Astyanax mexicanus: one gene and its partners. The protein of the gene in region 3 interacts with the protein of the main gene of each other region in a pairwise test. Links are inferred from orthologs where the notes say so. Each region holds a gene or a part of one and is shown on either strand. Other genes may lie near its edges.

What was found. The genes of interacting proteins can lie anywhere in the genome.
Region 1: the proteins of atxn1a (region 3) and trip6 interact in binary tests that used the Homo sapiens proteins (3 or more experiments, as listed by UniProt). The link is inferred for Astyanax mexicanus from reciprocal best matches to the Homo sapiens genes ATXN1 and TRIP6.
Region 2: the proteins of atxn1a (region 3) and tcap interact in binary tests that used the Homo sapiens proteins (3 or more experiments, as listed by UniProt). The link is inferred for Astyanax mexicanus from reciprocal best matches to the Homo sapiens genes ATXN1 and TCAP.

What each region holds. Positions count from the first base shown.
Region 1 is NC_064415.1:18,461,154-18,468,404, forward strand, and holds the start of trip6 (thyroid receptor-interacting protein 6), read right to left. Parts: upstream 3,025-7,251; 5' UTR 2,949-3,024; intron 2,916-2,948; exon of another isoform or gene 2,794-2,915; intron 1-2,793. UniProt on the Homo sapiens protein: Relays signals from the cell surface to the nucleus to weaken adherens junction and promote actin cytoskeleton reorganization and cell invasiveness. Involved in lysophosphatidic acid-induced cell adhesion and migration.
Region 2 is NC_064426.1:36,180,114-36,187,008, reverse strand, and holds tcap (telethonin), read left to right. Parts: upstream 1-3,871; 5' UTR 3,872-4,070; coding exon 4,071-4,219; intron 4,220-5,529; coding exon 5,530-5,920; 3' UTR 5,921-6,671; downstream 6,672-6,895. UniProt on the Homo sapiens protein: Muscle assembly regulating factor. Mediates the antiparallel assembly of titin (TTN) molecules at the sarcomeric Z-disk.
Region 3 is NC_064410.1:43,978,994-43,985,996, reverse strand, and holds the start of atxn1a (ataxin-1a), read left to right. Parts: upstream 1-3,977; 5' UTR 3,978-4,153; intron 4,154-7,003. UniProt on the Homo sapiens protein: Chromatin-binding factor that repress Notch signaling in the absence of Notch intracellular domain by acting as a CBF1 corepressor. Binds to the HEY promoter and might assist, along with NCOR2, RBPJ-mediated repression. Binds RNA in vitro.

The DNA.
Region 1 (7,251 bases), on a different chromosome or scaffold from region 3:
TCGCTACTCGCCTACATCTGTCCATATCTACTGTCAGAGGAATTATTAAGAAGTTTAAAACAACTGGAAGAGTGGTAAACAAGCCTGGACGAGGACGCAAGTTTATTTTGCCACCACGCACAGTGAGGAGGATGATAAGAGAAATAAAAAGTTCTCCAAAGCTCACTGTTACAGAATTGCAACAAATGGTAGCTTCTTGGGGTCACAAAGTCTCCAAAACAACCATCAGGCGCTATCTACATGCCAACAAGCTGTTTGGGAGGCATGCACGGAAGAAACCATTTCTCACTCACAATCATAAACGCAAACGTTTGGAGTTTGCTAAGCGGTACTATGACTTCAACTGGGACCGTGTGCTTTGGTCAGATGAAACAAAGATAGAGCTTTTTGGCAACAAATGCTCTAAGTGGGTCTGGCGTAACACAAGAGCTGAGTATGCAGAAAAGCACCTCATGCCCACTGTGAAATACGGCGGGGGATCAGTGATGCTGTGGGCCTGTTTCTCTTCTAAAGGCCCTGGGAACCTTGTTAGGGTGCATGGCATCATGAATGCTCTAAAATACCAGGACATTTTAAAACAAAATCTGGTGGCTTCTGCCCGAAAGCTGAAGATGGGTCGTCACTGGGTCTTTCAGCAAGATAATGACCCTAAACATGTGGCCAAATCTACACAGAAATGGTTCACCGCACACAGAATCAAGCTCCTCCCATGGCCATCTCAGTCCCCAGACCTCAACCCCATTGAAAACCTGTGGGGTGAGCTGAAGAGGAGAGTGCAGAGGAGAGGACCCAGGTCGTTGGATGATTTAGAGAGAATGTGCAAAGAGGAATAGTCAAAGATCCCTCTTTCTGTATTCTCCCATCTTGTGAAACATTACAGGAGAAGATTAGGTGCTGTTTTGTTGGCAAAAGGGGGTTGTACAAAGTATTAACATCAGGGGTGCTAATAATTGTGGCACACATGATTTGATGTTAAATAATTATTTCTTAATGTGGGATTTTTTTCCTACTGAATAAATTCACTTGAGTTAAAGGTTGTATTTTACTCTTTTTTTCCATCGTGGTCCTATATTATTTTGAACAAAACTCAATTTATGAGAAGCTAAAGAACACATCTTAACCAGGGGTGCCAATAATTATGGAGGGCACTGTATATATATATATATATATATATATATATATATATAAACAGGAGGACCGGTGAGTTTTTTGGCTTTCTCAGTCACGTGACATCGGGTTCAGTAGCTCCTCTATTTCCACTCGCTATTGTTTAAGTGGATCTCCGTGGAAACGCACGGCCGAAGTGTAATGACAGTGTGTGGCAGTGGACAACTATTTTATAAAATGCGAGGTAATGAAAATTAGATTTGTGTCTGGTGGGGACTAAATATTTCAGCGAAAAACAGTAAGTAATTCAGAAGACGTTTGGGAAAAGCACGTACATGGTCGTTCCCGGACTGGAATAAAATCAAAGAGGATCCCCCCCATGAATGAGATTTCAGATAGGACTAATGACTAGGCTTACTCCCTGTCCGGAGGAAGCTGCCCCATAGTGTTTAGAAGAGTGGAAAAGGCGGTTGGTCATACAAATGCTAACGTTACTGTTTTACTGTCACTTTATCATAGATAACTAGCTAACTATATAACCTACTGCTAACTAACCAAGTAACGTTAACCTAACACAGTAACCGAGTCAACCTAGTTAGATAGGTTAGCTTACTAGCCGATATGTTGTTACCGAAGAGCAGCATCACGGTATGTCAACATCACGGTATACCGGTGTCAGAACTAGACATAAATAATGTCTGAGAAATTTAAACTGTATCATATAGCTAGATAAAAGACAAGAGAGCAATAATTATCTAGTTAAAACGAAAAATAACTTAAAATTAACATTAAGCTGGCTAGTTATCTAGCTAGGTAGGTAGGTAGCTAGATAGCTTGTTAACTAGCGTTAGCTGTAAAAGTTTGCGAGAAGGTTTGGCGTGCTCAGGCGGACTAGGCTGGTGCCTGGACCCTGTCGGACGCAAACTCAACCCCGAGGAGTGTTGGGCCGAGTTCTGGACGTGTAACTAATAAGAGAATGTTAGTTTTTAGGTGGACACAAGCTAGTAAACAACATACTGAACGAAGCAGTGGTGAATCAAAGTGGGCCAGTGTCACACTCCTAGCTATCTAACTATCTATCTACAGTTTAGACTATAGTAAACTATAGTAAATCTTAACCAACACGACACGTCCAGGTTTCAGCACAGAATAATTAGCCATGCAGCTTCCCCGAAACCCGCAGCGTATCGTGCGAGGGCTGCGGAGAAAACAGGAACAATGGAGCATTTATTGATTTCCGTTAACGTTACCCTACCTCTTCAAAAACAAGTGCTGGCTAATCCAGCTCATCTACAGCTGGCCTGACTCGCCTCTCATCTGCACAACACACACAGTTAATCTACAGCTCACGATCCTGAACTTTAAGGGACGAAGATGCTGCCCTGTGTCGGACTGTGTTACAAAATACTGTTAGGTTAACTATTTAACGTAGCTAGTTAAAATGAGCTAAATCTGGTAGCTAGGTTAAACATTTCAGGCGAGAAGCTTAAAGAAGAAGACATCTGTGTTTTGGACTGGAGCATGATAAACCACTAGCGTGCACACAAAACAGGATTAAATTAAAATTCATTACTGAATCACTAATAGCCTCCTGTCCCCACTGTCCCCTTAAAAGAAAAAGTTACAGTGCTGCTGGTCTGCCTATGCTAGCTCATGCTAGGTTAGATGACTAACATTAGAGCTAACCTAGCGCCATCCTCTCTCGTTGTCACACCAAAGAGCGCTGAAAACGGCCCGCCTCACTTCACCACGTCTTCGACAAGGTCACGACTGTTTAGCTACCCGTATAAAAGTTGTTTAGGTGTCTGAAGTACTGAGTACTTTCAGTTCCTGTAACCTACTTTTTTCGTGGATCCTGCGTGTGACTGTGTGCCAGAGGCCCCGGAGAAGCGGCGTTATTTCCTTTTCCACCTGTTTTCAGACAAACACCGCCCCCTCAACTGGGATTGGCCGCTCCAGGTTTTATTATTATTATTTTTTTATTTAATTTTATCCATTACAATCAAACATAATACATAGAAAATAATAGTATACACACAAATACACAATTATTAATAATATTGCTAGGCTAATAAACATGATTTATTTAACTGTAAAATGGCTTTTTGCTTCGAAAAGGGCTGTATTAATTTAATATAGTGTTTCATCTCTTTTTCAAAAGCAACAAAATATATTTTAACTGGAAACATTACAATTAATAATTATTTAAAATGTGACCATTAAAAACATATAAAATGTATGATATATCAAAGTAAAATTTAAAATGAACTTTTCTACTTCTTTCTTACTTAAAATATACAGCAAGGAATGCATAGTTAAACGTGATTGGAGGTTTCTCCAGGCTCCAATGTGCACATATAACAAAATAAATACACGCTAGACAAGTAGACATTTTAGACAGCAATAAAATATATAAAGAGAAAGAATGTTTTAAAATATGCATGTGCATATTTATATCTGTAATTCAGCAAAAGACAGAAAATATACCAGACAGTACATTTCATGCATTTTAAAATAACATAAGCACTTACGTTTTCCAAAATTATATTTTAAATCTGTTTCAAAATTGTGCGTAAATGTTATAAAAAAGCTTTTGGCTGGATATATTTTATGTAACAATACAAGCTTATATGACACTTCCTTAATTATATTAGTAATCAGGTATTGATTAGGAAAATAACCATATCTTTTAGCAGCGAATGTCTTCAAGAAAAAAAATTTATGAAAATAAGCTGCTAGCCAATCCAAACTCAGCTCGAGGAATACTATCAGCCAATCCGAGCCCAGAACAAGGGACATGTCAAAAACGGGTGGGTAAAAAATACGCTGGGAAGCGCACCAAACTCGTGACGTAAGGGGTGTGTGTGTGGGGGGTTGTGCTGGCCAGCTAGTGTCCCATATTGGAATGACAGATGGTACACATCCTTATCTACAGAAAAAAAGGGAAAAACACCCTGTTGCCTGAGGCGACCTAATCCCCAGTCTTTATAGTTTTTTTTTTTTTTTTTTTTTTTTTTTTTTACAGAGGTAGCCTGGCCTATAAATAAAGCATATCTTTCCTGCTACTTTTGATTCCACCATTGTGGTACATGCCATTTTGGGAAGTTGATTACCAGTGTGACAGGGTAAAAATTAAATATAGGGTAGGAGGAGATGATAAACCACTTATAAACTACATGGACAGCTAAAGTGACAGCTGAAGTGTCCTTCACACTTTGGGTCACCCCTAAACACACACGTTTTAGGACAATTTAGGAGAGACAGAAATGGACCTGAAAGTGAGAGAGGCATGTGGGTTGTTGATGCAGCACAGCAATATTAAAAAAATATATACAAACATGACTTAAGGTAAACACCATTGTGCAGTTCTCACGAGTGTTATTCTGTCCACTTTACCAAAGATATATAGTTGTTACAAGTCAGTGGAGCATCGCAATTACACATCACATGTCATGTTACAGTATTTTTATTTATATTTCTAAACTGACAGTAAGGCTTATTTTAATGTATGTTTGCATTTGGCAGCATGGTAGCATGGTCTGCTACACAGCAGTGTCTGGGGTTGTGTGTTTGATCCTTAGGTAGCTTATCTGTGAAGAGGTATGTGTCCCCCAGGTACTATAGTTTCATTTTTCCTCCCTAAAATATGTGAGTAATAATTTGGTTATGCTAAACTAACCCCTAGGTGTGAGTGTGTGGTACCTTGTAAAAGATTGGTGTCCATTTTAGTGACTCTGGGTAGGCATTTGACGGACTGTGAGACCAGGGGATTATTTTTGTATCTTTATTATTTTTATTACAAGAAAAGTAATTATTCATATTTGTGCAAGGACCAACCAACACTGTCGTATACTGTATGTATAATTCTATATTCATTTTTTGACTGATTTTACTGTGAGGACATCCTAGACAATACTGGTCTAGAATAGACATGCTTTATGAAAATCACCAGGCATGTTAATTAGCCTAGAGTCACTGCTGTCTTTCAGCTTTCCTGATGGCCAATCAGACTTCTTACCATGATTATTATTCTAATTAGCACCATCATCCCCCAGTGCTCAAGAGTCTAATTAAATATTCACATCTCTGTTCCCTATGGTGGCTCATGTCATCTGTTCATCCAGACAGATATCATTACACACTCTGTGTGAGTCAGTGATGTTGACCCAAAGACTCAGGTGGTGAAGTGTTATCTCATTAAAGCAGTGCAGGAGCGGAAGTTGATCATGTGACAGATTAATGGCATGCACCACAGGTGAGGGGGGACATTATTCTGACATTATTCAGATGCTTTAATTAAAATCTGTCTTAATCATCATCTGTAGAGACAATCACATAAATGGTTGTGACAGGTATGCTTGAGGTTTTTAATCGATAGAATAATATTAGTATGATTCCAGTATTATTTACCTGTATGTTTCAGGTGTTCTCCTGTAGGAGCATGGCTTTGGCTCTTCCAAAAGCTTTTCTCAGAATAAGTCCTGGAAGGATTTCACGGAAGAAAAGGAACCGCTGAGGGGAAGCCAAGGATAAGTGGAATTTGAGGGGAAATGTCAAGGATAATTCCAGGGAAACTAGAAGTTGTCTTCAAGCATCACTGAACAGGTACTGCTGGATCAGCACACTTTACACATGTCGTCATATATAAGGACCTCATGTTATATGTTATACAGGATGCACGTTTTGCAGACACATACATTTGTGTAATGTATTAATAATTGCATTTTAAATTACTGAATATTATGCAATAAAATATGAGTATTATAAAAAAAAAACATTCTTAAATGGAAGTCTTAAAATTTAACCAATACATTTATTTTAGTGGGAAGACTAAAGACTAATAATATACATAAATGTATTTAGTTATATCAAAGTAATACAAAATGTAATTTGGCTGCCTGCAGTGCAGTGATAAGGACAATTTCATCAAGGACAAGGCTTAGTCCAGGAAAACAACCCTATATGTTTTAAACCCTTAAACCCAGTTAGATTCTTTACTCACATGACTGACTTTACTTCACTCTGACCTTATTAATTGTCCAAAGCTTTTGGCATTTATAAATTTACTGAATTCATTTTACAACAAATGAATACAAGTAATAAATATCATAATGCCTTTGCCAAAATGAAAGTCACCTTCTCCAAAGAGAAAGCATCTCTACCAAATCTGAATTATAATTACAGTTTTTGACATTTATTATAATGCAATTATTCAATTGCATTGTGTGTAAATCTAATTAAATATTACATATATTAATTTGTTTCCAATACATTCAGTTCGGAGAAAAAATAGGAATTTTAACTTTCTTACTTCCATCAAATAATGAACAAATTGTGTCTTCTGACCAGGTGTCCTCAAACCTATTGTGACTTGTAAATGATATATATTTTTGTCCTGTTGATTAGCTTAAGGATTTTTCTTCTGCTAAATTGTTTTTATGCAGTTAACGGATATAGTTTCCCAGTTCTTTATTTACTATTTAAATCCCACAGTGGGTTTCTCAAAGCAGACAATCAATAATACTGCAGAAGTTGGCTGTCAGCACATTAGTTAACACTGCCCTCAGTCCCCGGCTGTTGACAGGTGTGTGAATAGGGTATTGTTGTTAGCAGGGTTTTTCTTCTGATCCATTTCCGATAAAAGACTTTTTATGTGGCATTAGCTTCTATTAATAATGCTGCTGGTTATGAAAGAGGTAGCTTCGTCCTGATATCTTGCACCATGTTTAGAATAAGAATAGTTAGACTGATGAAGGATTTCATTATGGAGTTTATAGTACTGATCATGTCCAACAACTTTCCTTTAGTTTCCTGCCAGTTTTTTAATGACAGTGAATCTTGGTTGATTCATGGGTTTCCTCAGGGCCTTTTCTCACTTTCCTAGTAGTGAGTAGTCTATTCCTTGTTTTTATTGCTGTCTGTCTCTCGCTCTCTTGCTCTCTCTCTCTCTCTCTTACACACACACACACATACACACTTGTCCACAGAAGTTGCTCAGATATTCCCCTCCATCTCCACAGAGGAAGCTCCTTTCAGTATTTCTTTATTGTTTTCCTTGCCCAATGTTTTGCACGTTTCTGCCTCCTGCTACCTTCCTAAAGAGGACAAACATCCCCTCTCACTCAGCCATCCACCGGATAGCCA
Region 2 (6,895 bases), on a different chromosome or scaffold from region 3:
TGACATCAATTCCTGTATTTGACCTGTGTGTCAGGGTGAAGGTTGCAGTACGGTACGTGTGTGTGTGTGTGTGTGTGTGTGTGAAAGCTGAGAAACAAGCCCTCCTCCCTCCCCATCATCCATCTATCAGCAGTGCAGTAAATCATACCATGACTAGACTAGTGACTAGTGTCACATAGGCCCACGCTTAGTCTCTCTCTATAGATACACTATGACTGCTTTACTTTATATCCACTGTACGTACGCTGTAAAAAATGTCAACCTGGGAAGAAGTTGATTTTAAGTGTTTTTAAGCTTTGAATTGATGGAAAAAATAAAAAGATTGAAGTATAATTATTTAACTTATAGTACTTTAACAATCATATATATATATATAACTAAATAATACTTTATTCTCTTTTTTCAACTTCATTTCAAACATCCTTTTAACATCAAGTTATTACAACTAAAGGGGAAGTTGACTTAACTTTTTTAGCTTTGTTATACTGTAAGACCAGATAAGTTGAGTTTACTTTTTTAAGTTTGCTCAAATTTGTTAAGGTATAGGAAATAAAAACTTAAGTGAGCATAAATTAAAGATCAAGTTTTTTTACAACTAAAAGGGAAGTTGATTTATTTCTAAGGTAGTCCAGGGGGAATCACTACACACTGATGGTGAGTGTTAGTCAGAAACTGTTGGACACGCCCAGTATGCAAATAGATTGTGACTGAAGCCAATGGAAAAGTAGCTGTTAATGGCAACAGACTAAACTCAGTTATTATAAATTGGTTCAAGTCAAAGATAAAGATTATATGTGCTCACAAATGTTCATCTAACTCAAAATAGTTGAGTATTGTTTAGAAATATCCAATTTTATGTAAAACAGACTTAAATCATTTGAGTTCTAACAACGTATGGGTTTACAGTGTAATGTTTGTAGAAGCGGTCTGCATACCTGGGTGCTTGGTTTTATACACATGTGGCAATGGAAGGGATTGGAACCTATATTTAATAAGGTTCCATTTGGATGGGTAAGGGAATACTTTCAGCAATAATCTGTTAAAATATCATGAAAGAACTTAGAAAGAATCTCTGCTCTGTGCTCTTGTGCCTGTGCTGTAAATCAGCTTCTTTTAAGCCCTAGCAAATGCTGCAACTGACCAAATTAGCAAGGGTAATTTTATAGGCTTAAGCATTTGCTCTGGAAATTAGCTGATGAACCGTGTTAAGCCCCCTTAATTCTCTCATGTGTCCTGTATTTTCCAGAGTGAAGATTCCACATGTTTTTTTGTTTTTTTCTCTTAGTTCAAAAGTGCAGGAGCTCTGAGAATGGCGAATAGAATCATATCTGCTCTTCAGTGACAAAAGCACAACAGACCGAGGTCTAAAATAGTTTCCACGCCGGCTATCTCTGAGCCTATCTGACTTTCCACATTAGTGAAGTCTGTCTCTGAAGCTCCAGTGCAGCCATTAGAGCTGTTAAAGAGCCTGGGCAGAGTGGGGATTATGGCGAAGGTTGCGTTTCTTCCACAGTGATGACAACAGTGGTGAAAGAGCATATAGTGTAAGAATAGTGGTGTTTACTGTATGGGTGCATGTCTGCATGTCTGAGCTCCACAACATAATGTGCATTCACCATTATTGTGATACTGTGATGATGTAAATGCTTCGATCACAAGGAGCTTCAAGATGTCAGTGACTGCAAAGCAGACAAACCAAGTCTCCCTGAAGCTGCGGGAGTCTCCCACATTTCGCTAGTGGCTCCCTGATGCCCGCGAGTCACATATAATCTCCCGGAAGTTAAATTAAGTGATTTCTTTTCGTGTCACACTGAAGACACATTTATATTTACATCCTGCTTTGTAAATATGGGGCGTGGTCAGTCAGCGGTGGATGTGGGCACGCACGGTTCATTTACAGTGTGTTCGTGGAGCGGTGTGGGTGTGGCCTGACTGTTATGGAACGCCTTTTGGGTCTTTATGTCTGTGAGAGACTGCACTGTGAGTGTTGTGGGCGGGGCTCACAGCAGCCCCCTGCTGCTCGCTGCGGACAGTGACTGAAGAGCATGTGTTCATCTCAGAGTCGCCAAAAATCTCCAATAACACCACAAAAACTCGCTAGATTTGTCGCTAGTCGCTTTTTTACAAAAAAAAAAGTTGCTAGAGGGTCTGAAAGGTCGCTAAATATAGCGACAAAGTCGCTTAGTTGGCAACACTGTATCCTGTCTCCTCCTCTTTTGCTCACCTGTTCATTTGTAGCTCCGCCCCTTAGTCCCAGGTGCTTCCTGTTTCGTTGGTCAATACTTGAAAAAACTAAAAGGGTAGCATTGGCATGTTCAGTGTGTCCACACACACCTAATACACCGTGGTTTTAAAAGTTGTAATTCAGAAAAGTTCAGTACAGTGAGAGATAAAGAATAAATAGTGATAAAAATCTACTTACAGCTGAGAGAGAGAGAGATAGAGAGAAGTAGAAGGGAGGGAAGGGGGGACAAACAAGACTACAGTTATCTAAGAAATACTGCTGTACTACTGTGACTCCTGTGCTGGGATGATTTGACAGGAAATGGTCAATACTTTTGCATTTGTTTGAGACCTGTTCCATCGATATGTTTGCATTTGCATGTAAGAGAGATGTTACTTGATATCAATTTGAAATTCAAAAGTAAAAAAATCAGGTGTAATTAAGGATTCAGAAAGAGACGTTTGTGGTTCCAGAAATAATCATTAATGTAAAAGAGATGTTGGCATTAATAACCTTTTAGTATATCTGTTTAAGGTCAGATCATTAAGTTCAAGGTTCTATTCCAATTAAAAGGTTTTTTCACATTTGCATACATCTCTATTTCCAAAAGTAATTATTTTATGGCATTGATCATACAGCTATTTGTATAATTACCTTTGATTTGAAGAGTGTAGGAACAGGAACAGTGTGGTTAACTTATAAAAAAATACAGGTTATCTATTGCTTATTCATTGTTTTATCATTTAATAATCAACTCTACCTGCCTCAATGTTTAAAGCAGAGGTGGAAAAAGTACTGGAAAATTGTAATTAAGTAAAAGTACCTTTACTTTGCTAAAATTCTACTCAAGTAAAAGTAAAAGTACCCATCTAAAAACCTACTCGAGTAAAAGTAAAAAGTACTCAATGTAAAATGTACTTTGAGTAAAAGTTACATAGTTACTTTTATTTATTTGGTGTAAAAAAGTACACCAAACAAATCATAAATTAAATAATTATTAAATTAGATAATTTGGACCTTTCAGGCAGTATTTGTTCAGACCACCCTAACAAACATTTTAAAGAACAAGTGGCATAGATTTCTATGATCCATTTTTTTTTCTTTACTGTTAAAAGTTAAAAAGGAAACGTTCAGCTGCGCTACCATGGAGAACAAAACTCACTTTTTTTTTATTCAGACAATTATTTTTTTGTCCCCCAGCATTTATTTTTTTGCTTAATAACAGGGAGTTTTCCAATGTAGTGAAGTAAACTACTTGTGTCAAAATGTACTTGAGTAAAAGTAAAATTACCTATTTTTACCTATATTTATAAAATCTACTCAATTACAGTAATGTGAGTAAATGTGGTTTAAAGTATTGAAAGTGAAACATTATGGACTGATGGACTGACTAGCTGCATAACAGAGCACTGGATTGAACATTCCCCAAGTTCTAATAACGCATGTGTGTGCATGTGTGTGTGTTGTAGGGATCATTTCCAGGCATCGGGGGATTTCTAAACCTCCCCTGCGCTGTTCCAGCACACGGCGGCCAACATGAGTGTATGCGAGTACGGGAGGGAATATCAGGTGTCGGTGCAGACAGGCTGTGGAGTGAGGGCATCGTGTGGAAATAGCATCAGAGACGGTATAAAAGGCAGATACACACACTCGCTCAGTCAGACAGCATACACACACTGCTCAGGGGGCAAGCAGTTGAAGAACCAGGTGAAGAACAAATTGAGATCTATCTTCTTAGCAGAAGAAGAACAGAACCAGTGAAGATCCTCTTTAAGAGACGATCATTGTAGATCCTCTACAATTACAGTTAACCCTTAAGTAACAAGACAAGACACAGAAGCTGAAGATGCAGGTTTGCACAGTCCTGGAGAAGCGTGGCGGCTGCGTGGTGGGAGCCGAGCTGAGCTGCAGTGTGAGGGAGGAGAACGCTGCCAAGAGAGAGAGCTACACCGCTGACTGGCACAGCATCAACATGAAAACACAGCACGAGGATCGGTAAGTTCATATACTTACACTTAACTTACATTTAATTTTATTTGTGTGGGAACAGTCTTTCCTTAATTTTATAACTTAGGAATGTCTTTCTCAGGTTCTTCTTAAAGTTATCCTAGACTCCTGACTTTCTGATATATTTGACCCAAAAAGTCTTTTGGTCTTTAGTCCTGCTCCTGAAGAACTACCTTCAACCCAACTGTGGATCAAAACCACCCTATCCAACCAACCTCTGCCATCAAATTTCCTTTATTGGCTAAAAGAAACCTGATTGATTTGGGCTGGAATTGAAACCTGCTGGAAGGTAGTCCTTTAGAAGCTAAAGAGACTTCTCTTTGAGGACTACAAAGACAAAGACCAGTGGTTTTCAATCCTGCTCTTGGAGAACTTCCTTCCTATAAACGTTGTATCCAACTGTTCCCTTTAGATTCAGTCCTTAATTGATTAAATGATGTATTATAGTTTTGGATTTTGGATCCAATCCTAATCCACCCTACCAACTAACTTATGCCTTCAGATGTCTTTAATTGGCTGAATTTGGTGTGTGCTAAAGTCCCTAAAAACTTTGCATCCAACCCTACCTTATCCGTCTAGCCAATCAAAGACATCTGAACACAGTAGTTACTTGGATAGGGTAGAACGTGCTATAAGGTTGGATCCAAAGTTTGCAGGAATGTACCTCTCCAGCAGGTCATCAAATCTGTCACTGAGACCTTAAAAAGATATGAAGCAGTGAACTCCATCCCTTCTCCTGAAGAACTACCTCCCTGCAGAATGGGATTCTTCTGGCTTGGGTGGATCATGTTGAGTTGCATCCAAAGTTTGCAGGAATGTACCTCTCCAGAAGGTCACAATACCAGTCTATGACAATGTGAACTAGTAGTCCTCAACCTTCCTGCAGACTTTGGTTCCAACCCAAATTGATCCACCTGAGCACAATTTACCATATCCACTTTGCAAATACCTTCAGATGTCTTTGATTGGCTAAATAGGGTGTAAAAGATTTGGGTTGGAAATTTGACCCAAACATGAAACGATTTCCCTGGATTGGACCCAGATTTCCTTCTCTCTAAACAGCAAGTGGTTAAGATTAGTAACTGAATTATAAGCCTAAAATAGACCCCCTTAATGGACTTGCATGTCAGCCCACATGTTAGCCCCTTACCCTCATAAATACTGCCTGGAAATTAGAGTAGCAAGTAATTAATACTTATGCATCTGCAATAAACCTTAACAGCTTGTTAACAACCCACCCTGGACCTTTAAAGGGGTTAACCACTTCTCTCCTGCGCCTTCTTCTCTCTTCTCTCTAGCCAATCCATGGCAATGTCCGACGATTCACGACGGGAGACCATGTCTCGTTACTGGCAAGCTCGCCCCCTCACCCAGTCCTGTCCATCGGGAGTGCGAAGAGTGGGAACTCTGGAGTCTGGCGTTCGGGAGCACCAGCTGCTTCCCAAAAGAAACACCCTCCCCCTGCCAGTCTTCAAACCAGTGGACCTTGGCATCCGACTGGGTCGCGGCACTCCACACACCCCCGAGGACTTCATCCCTGCCCGCACACCCAACGGAGAGTGCCCAAACAAGAGGGACATCCAGGAGATCACCAGAGACCTGCCACCCGTCAAACCAACCCACATGGAGTTCGCCAAATCGGCCAGAACCCTGGGCAGGTCCATGTCTCAGGAGGCCCAGAGGGGGTGAAGAGAAAGAGAGCAAGAGGGGACGGAGGGGAAGCTGAGTCGAAGAATGTTTGGACTTTGTTGAACTGTGGAAGGGCACTGAGAAAAGGGGGCTAACCTTGCAGATATAGGTAGAAAATGTACACAATAGACGTTTTAAAGCCTTCTTTGTTACTGCCCTCGCCCTGCTTGAGAAACTGCAGAGACTGATGTTGCTGATGACGATGCAAGAGGTTTGTAAAGAAGATATGAGCTGTAAATAGTATCTGATTAATTAAATAGACCTGTATAATTAAAGTAAAGCAAGTTAAACTTTAGAGGAAGGAGTTGAGCATGTTTTCGGCTGGAAACCATTGGCACAAATCGTACAAAACTAGACAGAAGAAATGAAGCAGACAGAGCAAGTTCTGGACTTGAAGGTTGGCAGGCAAGATCCTTTGAGGTACTGATGCCTACTTGGAGGAAATCAGTCAGAAATCAAGAAGGAAAGATACAGAAGAAAACAGAGGGACAGAAGCAGAGACAGTCAGGTTTATGTGTATTTTGTAAGCAGTCCTGCAGTTTATGCAATGAAAAAAGCAACAATAAGCATGTTTACAATGTTTAGGTAAATATATTTTATTTTGTTACGACTTATAAATGAATGAAATTGCACTATTTGTCAACTGTTGCTTCACATGCAGTTGTTTTTTCCTCATAGATCACAGTGGTCTTTTTTCTTGTTTGTAAGATGTCCAATGTATTGTTTCAATAAATAAATGACATAAAAAAAAATGATTGCTTCGAGCCTCATTAATGTGTTTTAATACAGCATAATACAAAAAAAAAAACGTAATAAAAACTTTTAGTGGTTCAAATGAAACTAGACAGTTCAGTCCCAGCAGAAGCAGCTGTTGCTGTGATACAGGTGTTGGTTGGTTGGTTAATTGTTGATATGGTATTGTTGTTAGTTACTATGTTGTAGGTGTTGGTTGCTAATGTGTTGCTAAGTGGTTTC
Region 3 (7,003 bases):
TAAAAACTCCTACAAGTAACCATCTACCTTTTTAAAAAATATTTCTGTTTATTATTCCTAAATTGGAAGCACAATCCCAAGAAGGGGGTGAAGATTAGCACACGCCTCCTCTATCCTTTTTTTTATGTTGCCGCTAATTTGCATTACTGGGTAGTCAGCTCGCTTGAGGAAAGCACAGCAACCCAGCTTTGATAGATCAGCCAACAGACGCCTGTGCTGATTAACATCACACTAGGTGCTTTTGCAATAACGATATTCAATATTATTGCATATGATACAATATGACACATCTCTAGTATGGAGAGAGCACCTAGCTAGGTGAACTAGGTCAACTGAGCTATCTCTGACTCCAGCTGCTGGTGGCAAGCAGCATTATCTGCAAATGAACCAGTGATCCTCAGACCGACCACTTAACAGTTGAAGAACCCCCCTTTCTGTTGTATTCAAAGCAATGTCTCTATCTTTTTAAAATGATTTTAAAAGGGGGTCCACTACTAAAAAGAAACCATTTTGCTTTGAGTGTCCTCAGTGTCCTCACAAGCTCAGAAATATAAATTCACACATAGGAAAATTTGTTCACACCCATCTCTGGTACATTTCTCCTGAGGTTCACTTTGTTGAAGGTAGACTGTGTGTGTTTATGTGTGTATGTCTATGAAATTCCTTGAGGGCAGATCACTCATACGCAGCACACATACAGTCCCATGCCCAGAGAGAACAGCTATGTAATGAGGTAAACATGAGCTAAAAACACACTCTCACTCTCTCTGTGTCACTCTCTCTTATACTGTCTCACTCTCTCTCACTTAAACAAACACAATAATCAGAAATAGTATTATTTAAGAGAGCTGTTCCCATTCTCTTTAATTTATAAATTGTGGCATTCAAATATATTTATTTATATCTTGCATGAACAGGCCTGTGTATTGTGCAGTCAGTGTAGCTGAACAGGGCAGGAATGGTAATATATTCCCGGGTGGAGCGAGTAGAGTATGTGGTCTCCACAGTAACATAGCGACAAACACTTTGGAAAAGTCCCATCCGAGTCATGTTGAAGAAAAAATGACAGTGATTTTGCCGGCCTCTCTCTGAGTAAATAACATTTCTGGCCCTAAATTGAATGTTCGAAAACTCAAGCAGCAGCAGAGATAATGCACTTACATTTTCCCAGCTTGTTTACAGGGTTTTAACTGTGAGTGGTGGTCTAAAAGCCTTTTTAATGGGCAGAGCTTGATGTTTTTCTCTGTGTCTTCATTCGCAATTGCATCTGTCACCCCTAAACTTCACCTGTGGTTTTTAAGTGTTTCTGAGTGAGGACTGCTGAAGACATTCTCTCAGCTATGAAGGTGGATTCCAAGAATTTTAAACCTGAGGTAACGGGGTTCCGGTAACTTCCCCAAAGCTTACACGGCCTGTAGCAAGAAAAGTCATATACTATATTGCCAAAAGTACCGAGAAAGCTGCTCATTCATTGTTTCCTCTGAAACTAAGGGTATTAAAAGAGTATTTCATGCTTTTGTTGGAGTAACTGTCTTTACTCTCCAGGGATTTCTACTAGACTTTGGAGCATTGCTTAATTGCATTCAGCAGCAAGAGCAATAGAGAGGACAAGATGTTTGGATGATCATCACCCCAACTCTTCCTTAACTCATCCCAAATGTATTGGATGGAGCTCCACCATTCCAGAGAACACAGTTCCACTGTTTCACAGCTCAATACTGGGGACTTTTATACGACATTTTATCGACACCCAATTTTTTGCAATACAAACCTTTAGACAAGATAAGCTGTGTATGTGCATTAGCAACTCTGTGTCAACGATGGGTGTAACTTGAAGTAGGTAAAGACATTTAAAAGAAGGTGTGTTCCAATTTCAAACATTTAGTGTACTAAAAAAAGGGAAGTTATAAAATTTGCATATAAACAGGAAAATCAGCCAACATGAGATCATTTTTACTTTATAAAATGACTAAAAAAATGAATACATACTAAACACAAATACATAACAAACCCAAATTAATTACATTTAAGATTTCTGTTTATTTACACAGTTATCAGCACTTCTACTTACCCTGAACTCCTAATGATGTCACACAAAAGGATAAGGGTGTTTATTATTAGAAGTACTGTCTTACCCTTTGTGGTTTAGGCCAATTCCAGCATTATGTAAAAGGTATTTGGACTCATAATGTACTGCGATGTGTTGTGTACAGTATCGTGTGGTGCTGTAAACACAGGCCATGTGTGTATGTTGCACTGAGATCCAGGAGGAACGTTGTTTTGTTCCATGTTGTATTTGTGTATGGTTGGGAGTTCTTGATCTTGATCTCAGAGCACAAGGTTAGCACCTGTTATATAATGTGAATATGATGTAACCATTTCAGGTGAATACAGGCATATCTTCAAACCTTCAATTAAACATTCAAACCTTTAAACCTACATGTTACTAGTACAGTGTATGGGGCACATAATCAACAAATAGTTGTTAATATTTAAACCAGCTTTGTTAGCAAAAAATAACAATAATTTCTTATTATATATAAGTTAGTTGACAGACTTGCTGGGTTAAGCTCTTTCAAACAGTTCAATGGTTCAAAATACAAAGTTATAAATAATAACTAAAATTATTTTAACAAATTTTATACTTTGATTATTGAAGTAGAGGTTTGGGATTTTATACAACTTTATACAAATGGGTTATGGGCAGACCTTTTTGAGCATATTGTGTTGATTTTACGGATTTTTATATATTTGTATGCGTTGCATGATTTTTACTTCCTACTTATTTACAGTAACACTAACAACGTGAAATGAATAACATTTACAGTATTATCTGGTTACTATTGCACCTGCTAAGCGATGGAATATACAATATTAGGCAGCAAGTGAACTGTCAGTACCTGAAGTTGATGTGTTGGAAGCAGGAAGCCACTTTGATATGGTCTAAATAGTGATGGCTAGATAACTGGGTCAGAGCACATCCGAAAAATTAACCAGGTCTTGTGGGGTGTTCACATGTATACAACGGTCAGTACCTACAAAAAAGTGGCCTAATATTCACGGGGAACAAAGACATGCTTAAAAATAAAGATCTGATGGTAATGTCTGAATGACATGCCAAAAGTCACGGGATAGTAGTATATAATTTCTCTCATAGTGTACTGTACAACCCTGTGTCAGTATGATGACAATAATGGTGAATGCTAGAATGCCTGCTAAGGCTGTGATATAAAATATTAGGCAGCAAGTAAACTACCAGTATTTATAGGGAGCAAAAACATGTTTAAAAAAAGATCTGATGCTAATATTTGAATGGGATATTAGTATGTACTGTAAATTGATCATGAAGTGTTGGAATGCACTGGAGATCTTGTCCTGTTGTAGTGTACAGCTCTGTATCAGTATTATGGAACTGAATTGAGCGGTGCATTGTGGTGAAGTCCTTGTTTTGACAAGTCAAGGCTGTTTTAGTACCTACCTACACAATATGAGGCAGGTGCTTTTAAAGTTATGGCTGGTCCGTGTACAGTATACTGCCTACACACTTTATTGCAGTGATGGTGTCCCAGATTGAACGCAGTACCATTATGACATTGACATGGTCATTTGAAAGTGCTTTTATTCTTTTATAAGTGAAGCTAACATTTGCATTCAATGCATGCCCTTTTTAGTCTGTTATAACCTCTAACAGATTTATGCACAAGTCTCCAGTCTGCTGCTTCTGAACTGACTCTGAATGTAAGTAAGTAAGCCCTGCTAAAGGCTGCCCCCCTCCTCCTCGGGTTTTTTTTTATGAAACAGCCCAGGCTTCAAAGCCCTCAGCTAACGGGGCCGGCCAACTGCTCCATATTTGGGTTACACATTCACACACTCACACACGTACACACGCCCTCTCTCTCTCTCTTACACACACACACACACACACATATACGCACGCACACATACACACATACACACACACGCGCGCACGCACGCACTCACTCACTCCCTCGGTCACACACTTCCAGGAGGTGGGGGCATAGAGCCACAGAGCTATTAGCTCTGCTGCAGCAGACGTCGTGCTAGTTGAGGGGAGACGGTTCCACCGGCTAAAGCGGGCGCAGGAAGCCCCAACACGGAGAGCCGCGCACTTCACTGCCCGCTACAGCGCACAGTAAGTCCGCCCAATGCTCACCGGTTCTCCTGCCACTTTTACCTGCCTTTCCACCCCGAGTGAGAGAGAGAGTAGCGGAGAGAGAATAAAATGGCTGGAGCGAAAAGGAGACGCAGCGGATCAGAGACTGGCGTTCATATTTAAAAAAAAAAAATACAAAAATAAAGCTAAAAACTGAATATTTATCTTACTTTACCTGCTCTATCCAAATCCGTGCGTCTGATACAGTAAGTTTGACTGGATGACACCGTGCAGGGAGGCTGTTAAGTGAGTCTAAAACTAACACAACAACTCGAAGCGCAGAGCAGAGTGAGCGAGAGTAAGTGGGAGAGAGGGAGTCAGAGCGCGGGGGTTGGGGCGAGGCGAAGCCGGCCAGGGCGCGCTGTGGCCGGGCTGCTGAGGGAGGAGAGGGCGCTGGCCAACTTCCCCACAAGCTTCTCCGCTAACTAAGCTACACACGGCTCCGTGTTTTCGCACAGCGCTAGATAGTCGTTTGTACTTTTTGGAAACCGCCAGCGTGTCGCTTGTCGTGGCTTTTTAGCGTAGTTTTGTCTCTGTTTCCTAGCTGAGGAGACTCGCTTATGGGAATCGGGCTGCTGAACCAGAAAACACACAATTGCGGAAGTGTTGCTACGCGCTACGCTGTTTATTCGTAGAAACGGGGCGCCTGAGTTAACGTTACTGACAGCTCTCTCTCTCTTTCTCTCTCTCTCTCCTCAGCCACCACCGCGCTGAGTAAAGGTGACAAACAGCAGCTGGAGTTCAGCTCCTCCATTCATACTGTTTCTACTTAAAGCGGGATTGAGTGTGTTTCATTGACACTGCTGTGTGCGTGTGTGTGTAGTTAGCCTCCGGTGTGTGTGAGTGTGTGTGAGTCCAGCTCTGCTGGTTATATAATGAGCTGCTGGGATCTCTTCTGCTCCAGCTTACAGTATCTCCCTCTCTCCTCCTCCTTCTCCTCCTCCTCTTCTGTTAGTTTACATTCACATTATTTTATAACTGTGCCTTAAACACACGGAGATATATATGACTTCCTAAAAATATCGCTGTTTATTTTAACTGCAAAAAAAATATGGAACATTACAGTTGATGAAGGTGCTCGTGCTCATCTTACTGTATTGCATAAAGAGAAAAAGTTATGCAGTCAATAAAATATATGAATTATTAAATAGTAATAATAATAATAGTTGTATTATATAAACAAAATAGTTTTATTTTGATAATAATGTATAATTGCAATTGACTTCATTTGCCTAGGGGTGGACTGTTGCCCTCTGACCCTGTCCAATAAAGATCACTTTAATGCATAAACAAACAAATAAATTAATAAATAGAATGTATTTTCAATTTTAAGTTATTCACAACCTGCTCACATTCCCAGTGTGGTAAAGTAAGTAAGTAAAATTTATTTATACAGCACTTTTCACAGAGAGTAGACACAAAGTGCTTTACAACAACAAAAACATAGAAAATAAAATATACAATTGCCTTCCTAAAACATATACAATAAAATAAATAACAAAAGGAGAACACAGTGTTGCCAGGTACAGTTATCCAAATGCACGTTTAAAGCTTACTTTATCACAAAAATAAAATAAAATAATTAACATATTTATCAAAATATAGATAACCATTAACTGACAACTATCGAATTTGAAGCAGAATTAATGATACTATTTTAATAACATAATAGAAATAAATGTAATAACATTAAATGTATTTAAAGGTCCCCTTCCAATTAAGGTCACTTAAATGCATATGTAAATAAATAAATACATAAATAGAATTTATTTGCATTTAACCGCCATTCACAATCAGTCACAACCATATTTATTAAAATTATATAGAAACAGAATTATTGATAATTTGTTAATATCATAAAGAATTAAATGTACTTAAAAGTCCCTGTCCAATAAGAGAAACTTTTTCAATGCCTATGCAAATAAATAAATAGAATGTATTTGCCCTTTTACATTTCCTGTACTAAAAAAGCTTACTTTATTGTAAAAAGGGTAATTAAAAGCCCCTGTCCAAGAAAGGTCATTTTAATGCAGCATATCTAAATGTATTTGCATTTTTACTGTCATTCACAACCTGCCCACATTCCCTGTGCAATAAAAAGCTACTTTATTGCTAAAATAGGAAGTTAATTATTTAAGATTATTAAAGATAATAACAGAATTAGTGATACTGTAATAATAATATTAATATATATATATATATATATATATATATAATTAGGAGTTTCTAGATTATTGACATCAAATGGATGTTGATCTGAAGTAGAAGTGCTCAAATACTAAGCTTCAGTACAATCCAGTACATGCTACTTTACTGCATGCAAATATAAATAGGCCTACATCACTAAAATAAAATAAATGCATAAAGGAAATGCACTTTTTTAAACCATTTCTTGTCACATTGATGCTCAAGGTACTCATTTTATTGATCTAATGCAGGTCAATTTAATGCAAATATAAACAACAAACAAATAAATAAATGTATTTGCATTTTTCGGTTATTTATAGCATTGTATGTGCAGTTGAGGTGTTCATGTATCTTCACAAGCTCAGTCAGCTTCATTAAGCACTCATAAATGAAACAATGAATGAATGAATGGATGAATGAATGAATAATTGAATGAATGAGTAATGAGTAACCAATACAGTCGCATTGTTTTCAGATGATTCATAATGTCATGTATGTGATCAGGCTGTTTGGTTTCCCTGCTCAAGCTGGCAGTGGCTCACTGGAGCAGAACTGGAGCAGATATGTTGTTTTCCAAGCGAGAAAAAAAAAAGTTTTTAATCTCAAGAGTCTGACACGGAGGCGTTAATGCATCTAGCAACC